Pelodiscus sinensis: one gene and its partners. The protein of the gene in region 2 purifies or fractionates together with the protein of the main gene of each other region. This does not show direct contact. Links are inferred from orthologs where the notes say so. Each region holds a gene or a part of one and is shown on either strand. Other genes may lie near its edges.

Region 1 (3,746 bases), on a different chromosome or scaffold from region 2:
AAAAACAGGCTATATAAATTCTTAAATAGAAGAAAAAATATACATTTCTGCTTGGAGAAACGTTTGTAAAATAGGCTAGATGTACTAAACAATGTTTGAACAAACTCTCAATTTATGAAATAAAGTGACTTGTTACGAACCAACAAAACTTTCCATTCATCATAAACCTAACTTGTTCCGGGACACAAATTAACCAGAAATAATAATAATAATTATGGCTCGCCAAGCAGCGGCGAGCTCTGCTCGCCACCTGCACGATTTCACGTGGTTCTGCACATGTGCAGATTGCTCTGCGCTGGCTCTTCCAGGTTGTAAGCTACTTGCCACAGATGAGTAGATTACATTATTTGTTGAGCCCTGATAATAATAAATAATAATAATAATAATCATCATCATCATGTAAGCCAGTACATTTTATTGTATTGGTTTAGTGTTAGAAAAAAAACCCAGAAGAGGTCATGAAAATTACAGTATTTTTCAAGTTGAGAACTTTCTGTACTAATGTCATGCAATTAAAGTATGTCAAATTTGTTTTATATACTCTCAATAATCTTGTCACAGTAGTACTGTATACTTTTAATTAATCAGAGAGAATACATGTTTTAAATTATGTCTTTCTACAAAGGCTGCCTACCAGTGCCACTTTATTACTGGCGCACAATTTGAAAAAAAAATTAACCCCCCCCCCCACAAAAACCCCAAACCTTCAGCCATTTAAAACTCCTACTTTGTTTATCCCTAAAATTCATACTTTACATTTTCAATTATCTTTTGGAACAATGACGAACCCGGAAGAGATAAAGAAAAGAGACTTTTGTGAATGCTGGGTATTTTATTTCCTACCAGCTATATACAGATCTTGGATTTCAACTGGAACACTGCAAACCCAACAGACACTCTATTTAGCACTTTTTCTGTTCTCTTACTATGAAAACACAGGAGATGTTACCATATATTAAAACTCTCCTCTCCAGATTTTTTTTAACAAAAAATTGTATACAGTATGAACTTTAAAAGAAAATCAATATTATCTCGGTACCAGATCCTACTTCCTACCTCCCTTGTGCTACAGTATGTGAACTATTCAGTTTTGTAAGAGTTCACATCTACCTTGTTAACATACACATGCGATGCTGCTGAATAGTAGGCTCAATTCTTGAAGACACTAAGAACATTCAACACCCCATAGAAGTGGAGGGCTTAGCACTTTGCAGCAACAGACCCATCATGGTGAAGAGTATTTTGACAAAGGGTCTGGATCCGCTCCAACTGACTCCAGTGGGAGTAGGCCCTAACCCCATGCTCTACTAACCTGGTTGCGTGTTATCTTAAGTCTCCTGGATCACAGCCCATTGCAACCCAAAGGATGCTCTCCTGTCTACTGACCGACGCTCTTCACTTCACGGAGCAACAATGGCAACGCGAGCTGCTATCACAATAGCCAGGAATAACTCCGTGCCACACTCAGGGGAGGCTCTCCCCACTGCTGCCTACCACACACACTCGGGTCCGTAACGTTCGCAGGAAGCCGGGGCAGGCCCTGTAGGCCCCGCCACGCTCCCGCCCGTGCGGGTGCCGGCATCCCTGGCCGCAGCGGCGCGGAAGGGGGGGGGGGGGGGGGCATTTCACCGCGAAAGCCTGCTCACGAGCTTCCGCCGCGCCCGGCAGGGGCTCGCCGGGATGCAGCGCGGAGGCTCCAGGCCGCCCCTGGTCCCCCACAGCGCCGGGAGGGCAGAGGCCCAGCCGTGCCCTCTCCCCCTTCCCTCGCACAGCGGCGAGGCATGTCCCCCCCCCCGCAGGGCGAAGGTCTCGCAGGCCCCAAGCCCGCCCGCAGCTCCCTCAGACCTCGGCGGCCTCCCTCATTCGACCTCCCCTCAGGCTCTCCCAGGCCGCCGTCCAGCCCGGGCCGCTCTCCTTCCCGCACAGGCGGGGGGAGCCGCCGCCGCCTCCGGGCCCTCCCCTGAGGCCCGGCGCACGGTACCTTGTAGAAGGCCCCATTGGAGCCCCGCACCTCCACCACCAGCTCCTCCATGTTGTGCCGCGGCGGCTCGGTGCGGGATGCCCAGGCCCGGCGCCGCCTCTCTCTCTCCGGGGGAGGGTGGGGGGGAGCCTCGGTTCGCTCCGTAGCCGGAGGGGTGGGGGCGGGTCGGCTCCGGTCCTCGCCCGCGGCTGCCCGGAAATGAAAGCGAAACGGTCACCACCCGGCGGCGCGCGGGGGGGGGCGGTAGGAAGAGGGGCGCCCGCTTCGAATGTAAACATTAAACCCGCATCACGTGACAGGCCCCCCGATCGGGGTGGGAGGGGCGGGAAAATCAGCTCGCGCGAGCACGCCCCGCTCACGTCCACCTAACGGCTAGCCCGGCGCGCCCCTCCCTCACACACACACTCTCTCTTCCCCCAGCGGCGGCACGCAACCGAACCTCACGGCGCGACGGCATCCCACCCCTGCCGCTCACGCTCTGAGCGACTGCACCGCCACCCAATGGCGGCGCGCCATCGTCGTGCGCCGCGGCCAATGGGAGTGCCCGGGAAGGAGGCCGCGTGACCCGTCGAGGCGCCTGTTAGCACGGCGTTCAACGGCCCTCGGGAAGAGACGGGTAAGGGGGCCGTTAGTGGAGTTCGCGAGGAGAACGGAAGGGGTAGGGCTTGTGGCGCCAAAATAACGAGCGGGCGAGGCGGGGGAGAGAGGCGGGAGGTGCGGGGTGGGTGGCGGTTCGGGACCAGGAGTGGGGGAAGACCCGGGGGGGAGGGGTCTGAGGTGCGGGACCAGGAAAGGCGGAAGATTGGGGAGGCTGGGAGGGAGGGTTGTGGGGTGGGACCAGGATAGGCGGGAGGCTGGGGCGGGGTGAGGCGGGAGGGTTGTTTTGTGGGGTCGAGGGTGCGGGACCAGGAAAGGCGGGAGGCTGGTGGAGGGAGGGTTGTGGAGTAGGGCTGCGGGTGGGGCGAGAGGGTTGTGATGTAGGGTCCGGGACCAGGAAAGGCGGAAGACGGGGGAGGCTGGGGTGGGGTGGGGGAAAGGGTGAAGAGAGGCTTGTGGTGTGGGCTGAGGGTGGGGGAGGCTGGAGGCGTGGGACCAGGAGGGGGTCAGACTGGGGGGCTGGTGCTGGGTGGAGGGAGGGCAGTGATGCATGGCTGAAAGAGGGGAGAGGCGGGGGGGAGGGTGCAGCGCGTGGGAAATGTTGGCTGAAGAGGATTGTGGCTTAGCTGTCCTGGGCAGAGCCCTGGGTGGTTACAAAGTTGGTATCTGCCAAAAGAAAAAACCCATGGATGCTTACATTTGCCAGTGCTCATACCTATAAAACAGACATCCACAGGCTTGCATTTTTCTAGATACACAGTCTCTATCTGCCAATATGAGCCGGTGGGTATCTGTAACCACATACCACAGCTGCCTGTGATTTGCATCACTCTCATCATGCAGCAGGTGAAGTTGAGTTTTCTGTGCAGTGGTGCTAGGTTTAGATGCACAACTAAAGAAGGCCCTTGGCAGTGGAGGACTAAGCTGGCTAATCACCTGCCACGCATTTTGCACTAATTGTTTGATCTGAATTAAAACCCTGCAGGTGCTGTTAAGAAGGGGCCTATCTTCCTCTTGGGGATCTAACCCAAGCTCAGTTCTTCATGTTGAGAGTAAATGGAGGCTGTAGCTTGAGTTGTCTGCCCTTGTTAGCTGTTTCTCCTCCGACCTAGACCATTTCAGATGTTCTGCAGATCAAATCCGAAAGAGAGCTCAGGAAGCCCTTGTT
Region 2 (3,746 bases):
GAAGTCTGTTTATAGCAACTAGGCCTGGCTCTCAGTGTTCTGTGCTGTTATTTAGCTCTAATTTACTCCTAAATGTATTTTAAGAGCCCAGTTAAGCAGTGGAAGTGTTGGTAACGCTGCTAGACAATATTGACCTCCTATGGCTGGGCTACTCAACTTTGGAAAGTTGAGTAGCTGAGAGACACAGTAATACTCACAGCACATGCCAAAGGCTGCAACATAAGTGCGGGTTGCATATACACGCAAATATATATGCAAATATACGTAAACAGATTCTTTCACACTGATGGGCATGAATACAAAGATTAAGGCAAGACTACACAGCACACAGGCCCCATTTAAATCAGTTCTACTGATACTGATAAAATGCAATATTTACCCCATTTCCACGCATATGACAGCACTTTTAATGAGCAATGACAGTCCAGGAATTTAACTACTAAAACACATATCAACAGAAGACCATTAAATTGACTTGCCATTGTGGAGCGTGCTCCCAGGGGAGGCCATACTCAAACGATCTCACCTGCAGGCCGCACATTGAGCCCCATGTAAACCCAACCCCCTCACGGGCTGCAAACAAATGGGCCATGTGTTGAGTAGATCTGTCTTACAGTTTGACAAATTCTCTGGTTCAGCACTGGTCAGGTCCTGAGGATGTCAGACTAGAGGGGTTCAACCTATATTTTAACTTCAAAAAATGACCCCTGATCCCTATATCAACGAGGTTTAGAGACACAAAATAGAGTGAATCGTGCCATCTCCCTCTAGAGTAAAATTGTTATGTATGGGGTATTATTTGTGACCTAAGTAACAACTACTCTATAAAATAAACCCTGAAAAACGTTAAATGAAGGAACATTTAAATCACTGCACTCTATAAATTACCTTGAAAACATCCTGATCTTAACAAGTGATTGTTTAATATACAGATCCGACTGATATTTTCAGGTTGAGGTGACTGCATGGTCACCTAACTTTAGCACACTAATCCACAATTCATGTTACCTTTTAACTTATCTGTCTCTGACTTCAAAATTCATACAGGAATTTCCCATTGATAGGTGTACTTATTTTCTACTTATCAGTGCAGCACAGGCACAATATAACAAAAGTTAAAATGAATGTTTAACACAGAAATAATTATTAAGCTCTCTCTCACAAAATAAATGTCCTATAGCAGCCAATACGTATCCACAAAAAGGTATGCTTATTCTTGAATAAAAACATATTAACAATGCACTTTGAAAATTTTTGACTGAAAAGGACTAAATATAAACCAGCATCAGACATAGGGACATATTTTGTGCTTATACATATTGTTTATTCACAAATGTACCTTGCAAATGAAAGCAGCATTACAAATCTTAGAGATAAGAAACTTAAATAAAAACACAGGTTCAATTTCAGGGATATATATAGTCACTTCCATGCAGTAAAATCCGTAACTGGACCTGAAGTTTTGCAGTTTAGTTTAGTTTGATTTTCAACCAGAGCCAGCATTTTGCTTCCTACCCATCAATGTCCCATGTAGATAAAATGGTAAAGATAATTTCTATCTTTGTACTTTAAAGAGTAGCATTAGTTTTGCCAAGTTCTCAAGAAATGAGTAAAGGACATTAAGAAAAATATGTATTAAATAACTGCCAGAAAAAGGCTACATGTTAAATGTATAAAGATGACGTCTGATTCTATATAGAGAATTTTCTCTAAACTGAAAAATTATCTAAAATTTTAAGATGTCAGATGCTTCTATCATATAATATCATTGGGGAAGAATTTCATTAAAAGTAATTTTTATTTTGACATAAAGAAGATACTGCATCTTTAAGCATCCAGCAGTTTCAAAGCAACGCTAGGCTGCAATCACAACATCCATTAGAGTGTTCCACGTTTCAGAGCAAGCAAGCAAGCAAGTGGTTGTCATTGTAGCCAGTAAATCACCTGATCCTATTACAAAATCAATTACTGCAGCACATTTCTATTGCTACATAACCTGATGATAGCAAAATGATATTGGATAGCTACTGCAAGGTCAAGAAAACTGCTAGGAACAGCTCAAATTTCTCTTTTAATGTAAGTCTAAATTATAATGCATCTATTTAATGGTATATTTTAGATTTTAAATAAATATCTATATAGTTACCTTTTTTGGTTGATTGGGACATTCGGTGGATAGTCTCTGTAACTGGTCTGACGTATGGCTGCAAGATAGAAGATCAGAGCAGCAGGTCGAACAGCCCAGCCTCTTCATTAAAGAAAAAATAATGCTGCAGCCACATCCACACATTGACTTGCTCATCAGATGACTTTATTCCTTAAGAAACCAGAACTGGTACATTCCCATATATACTCAAAATTGGCTGACTGCCTCATTCTGCAGTTCCCTGGCTGAAATTAACACTGATAAACAGGAGAAAAACAAAACAAAACACGTGTTCCTCAAAAAAAAAAAAAAAAAAAAAGCCAGCCAGAGTCCCAACACGAAGCAAAATTCAACAGTAAAATATAGACAGTTTTACAAGGTAAGATGTTTTAAGGCTCTTAACTGGTTTATAAAAGGAAGAAAGGCACCTTAAGAGGAATAGATTCAAGGTGTCAGATACATTAAATTGCACACTCACTACAGTTTGTTCTTCTCCATCACTTCAAGTCCAGTTACCTACTCTAACGGCTCAGCCTATCCAACCTGTTCTTTCTCTAAGTGCACACTATTCCAATAGCCAACAGAAAAGAGCCACACCCCTCAACATCCTCCATGCACTCTATTCAAGAGCTGCTCAATATCTCAAAAAAGAACTGCTGTTGCATTGCTTAGAACAACAACAGGGAAGGGATTACTGGATGGAGGCTGACCTGCCAATCAGAGCAACTGACCTTTTATTACTCTAGTGTTCAAGAGGGACCTGTCAATACATTCAAGAAGAATGACAGACTTGTCTTCCTGTTATACTCTACAATAGATTTTCTACAATATATATTTTCTAATTTTATTGTAAATTGAATAATTTGTATGCAACAAAAGGATTGCACTGAAACATACAAAATTCTGTAAAGAAATGAGAATGGCTGCTACCAACCTATATGAGTTGTGATAACATTTAAGAAAAAAAACAAACACAAATTTAAACTAAAGGAGGACCAAGAAAGGAAAGTAAGTTGAAACATAACCTTTCTCTTATCAATCCCCAATAGAACTGTCTAGGATAAGCAGCTTTGAGAAAAAAAAGTTACACAAAGTCTTTGGCTCAGAGGAAGAATTGCACAGAAAAGCAACAGTAATTCAAAAGAGTAGTCATATCTCATAGGCTTCCAGGTCTGTTCCAAAAATATTTCATGTGCTGAAACCAAAATATGGTCTCTCAATAACACTCTCTACCTGTCTAATTGCATCTGTATAATTCGGTCTCAGTCAAAAACTTGACTGTTTCTCAGGGTATAAAATCAGTGAACCATATACTGATTTTCCCTTTTCATGTGATGGCATATTGTTATATGCCAGCATTACAAATATTTTAAAAACTTCATTTTAACCAGCTTACTAAAGTAAGCAATATGGTTTCTGAAATAAAAGGGTTCATATTAACACAAATGCTTAAAATGATTACAGGATAAAATGACTTGAAGTAAGTGTCATTTGCATTTATAGAGCTATCAGTGCTGGTCTAATTCAACAGCACCCCTATCAAAAGGTTACAAAAAAGTAGATGACGTAAAAGCAGCTTAAACATATATGTGTGTGTATG
Region 3 (3,746 bases), on a different chromosome or scaffold from region 2:
CACCCAACAGGGGCTCACGAGGCGGCAGCCGGGGGCAGCACACCCCACCTGTCGCAAACGGGGCTTGACCGACAGGCTGGGGGCTAAGAGGCCACAGGCCAGGACAAGCCCCCTGCACGCCCCGCGGCAGCCTGGATCCGACTGGCCCTGCGCGGAGCAGCAGGCGGCTGAGCCCTACCTGCCTTGCGGGGGATGTTCACCTCCAGCACGGCGCCGAAGGGCGAGAACAGAGCCCGCAGGTCGTCTTCGGAGCACTGGGGAGAAGGAGCCGTGTCAGAGCCGCGCAGGGGCTGGGCTGAGCAAGGAGGGGCGCAGGGAACTGAGCACACCGAGGCCGACCTAGTGCCCTGCCAGCTGGAACCCTCCCTCCGTGGGGAGCTGGGTAGGACCGGGGGCTCCCCTCGGGCGAGAGGGTGCCCTTAGCGCCCACGCGCGGCTCGGCCGGGCTCCGACGCGAATTTCACCCTTTGCCAAGAGAAAGGCAGCGCCGGTGCCAGGTTACAAACCCCGGGACCCGCTTCGAGCGGCTGCCCGTCACATGCCAGCTCCCCCCATTTCGCTGCGCCGCTGTGGCTACCAGCCACAGGCAGCACCAGCGCCGCCCCCAGCTGCGACCTCACCTCGCGCGCCAGGCACCCGCTCGCCCACCTACCTGGAAGCTCAGGTTGCGGATGATCAGCCTGGCTTTCTTGGGGGGCCCTTTCGGCTTTTTCGGCTTCTGCTCCCCTGGAGGGGTCTCCGGGGCACCTGGGAACAGAGAGCACGGCATGGCAGGGCTGCTCGGGCGCCTCTGCCCCACGGCTCCCTTACTTACAAACACACAAAAAAAAACAAACAAAAAAAACAAAAAACAAAAACAAAAAACAAAAACAAAAAAACACAAAACAAAAAAAAAAACCACACCCAGCACGAGTCAGGACACAGCAGGGGAACCCCCGTCCCATCACCACCCCAGAGGTCACAACCAAGGACACAGGCCGTGGGCACAGAGAGGAGCCCGTGGCCCGCGGTGCCCCATAACCACAGAGCCAGGCTGCTCTCAACTCACCAGGCCGCTTCTCCTTCAGCTTCTTCTTGGCAACGGTCACCGAGATGGCACGGCCCTCGAAGGCGGTGACCTCCCGGAGGGCTCGCTGGGCGTCCTCCAGCAGGGAGAAGGTGACGTAGCCAAACCCACGACAGGTCTCGCTGCCTGCAAGAGAGGGGCAGCATGACCGGCACCCCACAGACCCAGGCTCTGCCAAAGGGCTGGGAGCTCGGGGCCTTCTAGGGCACCAGGCTTCGCCCAGGGGAGGCCCCCTCTCAGGAAACCAGGATACCGGCCCAGGGCCTGGCCCACAGAGGGACAGGAGGCCTGGCGGGGGCAGGGTCCCCCCAGGCCAAGGACCCGCTCCCCTCCCGGGCCCAAACAACTCAGGGAGACTCCAGCTGATCCAGAGGCCGCCTTCTCCCCCACTCCCCTGAGCTCGTCCAGGTGCAGACCCCCACCCCCGCCACGGCAGCCCTGCCCCCTCCCACCAGACCCAGCTCCCCTGCCCTGAGCTAACCCTGTTCTCCTCCCCCCCGCCCGGCTCCTGCTTCCTCAGGCTTGCGCCCCAGCCCCTCGCACCACGGATCCGGCTGCCCCCCCCTTCTCTAGACTAGACCCCCACCCCACAGCGACTGCCGGTTCCCCCTGCACCCAACTTCCGACACCCCTGCGGCCCCCCCCGCCCCCCGGCTCCAGCCCCCCTCCCCGACACCCCCCCCCGCCCTCCGGCTCCAGCCCCTCTCCCCGACACCGCCCCCGCCCCACGGCTCCAGCCCCCCTCCCCGACACCCCCCCCGCCCCACGGCTCCAGCCCCCCTCCCCGACACCCCCCCCGCCCCACGGCTCCAGCCCCTCTCCCCGACACCCCCCCCAGCCCCACGGCTCCAGCCCCCCTCCCCGACACCCCCCCCGCCCCCCGGCTCCAGCCCCCCTCCCCGACACCCCCCCCAGCCCCACGGCTCCAGCCCCCCTCCCCGACACCCCCCCCGCCCCACGGCTCCAGCCCCTCTCCCCGACACCCCCCCCAGCCCCACGGCTCCAGCCCCCCTCCCCGACACCTCCCCCGCCCCACGGCTCCAGCCCCTCTACCCGACACCCCCCCCAGCCCCACGGCTCCAGCCCCCCTCCCCGACACCCCCCCCGCCCCACGGCTCCAGCCCCTCTCCCCGACACCCCCCCCAGCCCCACGGCTCCAGCCCCCCTCCCCGACACCTCCCCCGCCCCACGGCTCCAGCCCCTCTACCCGACACCCCCCCCCAGCCCCACGGCTCCAGCCCCCCTCCCCGACACCTCCCCCGCCCCACGGCTCCAGCCCCCCCCCACCTTTGTGGGTCACCACGAAGCAGCGCTTGAGCGGGCCGAGCTGGCCGAAGATCCGCTCCAGGCCGGGCCCGCGGGCCGAGGGGGGGAGGCCGCGCACCAGCAGCGTCAGCCCGGCCATGGCCCCGGCTCCGGCCCGCACGTGCCGCCCGCTGGGCGCCGCCATCTTGGCCGGGTCCGGCCGCGAACGGGGACCGGCCGGAAACGCGGGGCCGCCGCTGGGTTCCGGCGGGGGGCGGGGCTGTGCCCAGGCTGGGCGGGGGGGGCGGGGCTGTGCCCAGGCTGGGGGGGGAGGGGGGGGCAGCCCGGCATTACGGGCCTGAACTTTGACCTCAGTTTCACCCACTGGCAATAATGACCAAAAAATAGGGACACCTTAGCCCCGCCCCCTGACACCCTAGCCCCGCCCCTGATCCCACAAGCCCCGCCCACCTGCTACAGGAAGTCCGGTCCCTGGGGTAGTACTTCTGGGGTCAAATGAACACATGGCCAGAAGCAAAGGGTGTCATGTGACCTCCCCCCCCCCCCCAAGAACTCCTCAGAGGGATGGGTTGGGCCCCATAGGAGCCCCCCATGCAGCTGTCCCGCAATTGCATTAACCCAGGCCCCAGACGCTGCAGCGCTTGGGGCCCAACCTCCATCCCAGAGGGGTCCAGGGTCTCAGCCCTGTTACTTGGCAGGGAGATGCCGCCCCATTGGCCTCGGGGCCTGGGGATCATCCGGAACGGTCCCACAATGTCATGGGACGGCTCCCTTCGTCCTCTTAACAGTGCCTCGCAGGGGGCTGGCTCCCCACCTGCTGCGCCCCTCAGAGGACCCTCTGCAGCCAGGGGCGGCTCTTTTCCGGAGCAGCCCCTGTCTCTTGGGCCCCACAGTCGGGCTGCGCCAGTGTCCAAAGCAGCCTCTCTCCAAGGGTCCCGCTTGCTGTGGACAGGGGCTGCGCCGGAGCAGGCTGGGAGCCGGGGCAGACCCGGTGTGACCTGATATTAACCGGGTAACTGATGAATGAGAATTTACATCCCTAGTGAGACGTCCTGCAACTGCATTTTCTGAAGTTATTGCAAAACTATCAAGTGTTCTCCGTTTCCACACGCCAGAACGACAATACTAAACGACCCATGCCAATTACGGGGTGCAGGGGACCCTGTAACTAACCCTCCCCACCATTGTTTGCATGGTACATTGCCCACGAGGTCAATGGGGCTGGGCTATTTTATATGTAAAGCTACTGAGATATGTCTGTGTCGGTACCATGATGGCAGTACCTGTATCATATAGATAGTAGCCCAATGTCTGTGACTCTGTAACGCTGAAATGCTGGCTGTTCCCTCTGGGCGGCGCTGTTGCCTGAGTCACATCCTTCGCCTCCTGCCGTGGCACTTGGCTGACTTCTGCG

The links. The genes of interacting proteins can lie anywhere in the genome.
Region 1: the proteins of FBXW7 (region 2) and FMR1 purify together in Homo sapiens (affinity purification with mass spectrometry, with the first as the bait; 3 studies listed by BioGRID). This does not show direct contact. The link is inferred for Pelodiscus sinensis from reciprocal best matches to the Homo sapiens genes FBXW7 and FMR1.
Region 3: the proteins of FBXW7 (region 2) and RBM28 purify together in Homo sapiens (affinity purification with mass spectrometry, with the first as the bait; 3 studies listed by BioGRID). This does not show direct contact. The link is inferred for Pelodiscus sinensis from reciprocal best matches to the Homo sapiens genes FBXW7 and RBM28.

Annotation. Positions count from the first base shown.
Region 1 is NC_134723.1:40,630,759-40,634,504, reverse strand, and holds the start of FMR1 (fragile X messenger ribonucleoprotein 1), read right to left. Parts: upstream 2,299-3,746; 5' UTR 2,033-2,298; coding exon 1,982-2,032; intron 1,978-1,981; exon of another isoform or gene 1,824-1,977; intron 1,757-1,823; exon of another isoform or gene 1,313-1,756; intron 1-1,312.
Region 2 is NC_134715.1:55,467,368-55,471,113, forward strand, and holds the start of FBXW7 (F-box/WD repeat-containing protein 7), read right to left. Parts: upstream 2,409-3,746; 5' UTR 2,303-2,408; coding exon 2,147-2,302; intron 1-2,146. UniProt on the Homo sapiens protein: Substrate recognition component of a SCF (SKP1-CUL1-F-box protein) E3 ubiquitin-protein ligase complex which mediates the ubiquitination and subsequent proteasomal degradation of target proteins.
Region 3 is NW_027465922.1:773,715-777,460, reverse strand, and holds the start of RBM28 (RNA-binding protein 28), read right to left. Parts: upstream 2,548-3,746; 5' UTR 2,517-2,547; coding exon 2,354-2,516; intron 1,193-2,353; coding exon 1,049-1,192; intron 748-1,048; coding exon 653-747; intron 255-652; coding exon 179-254; intron 1-178. UniProt on the Homo sapiens protein: Nucleolar component of the spliceosomal ribonucleoprotein complexes.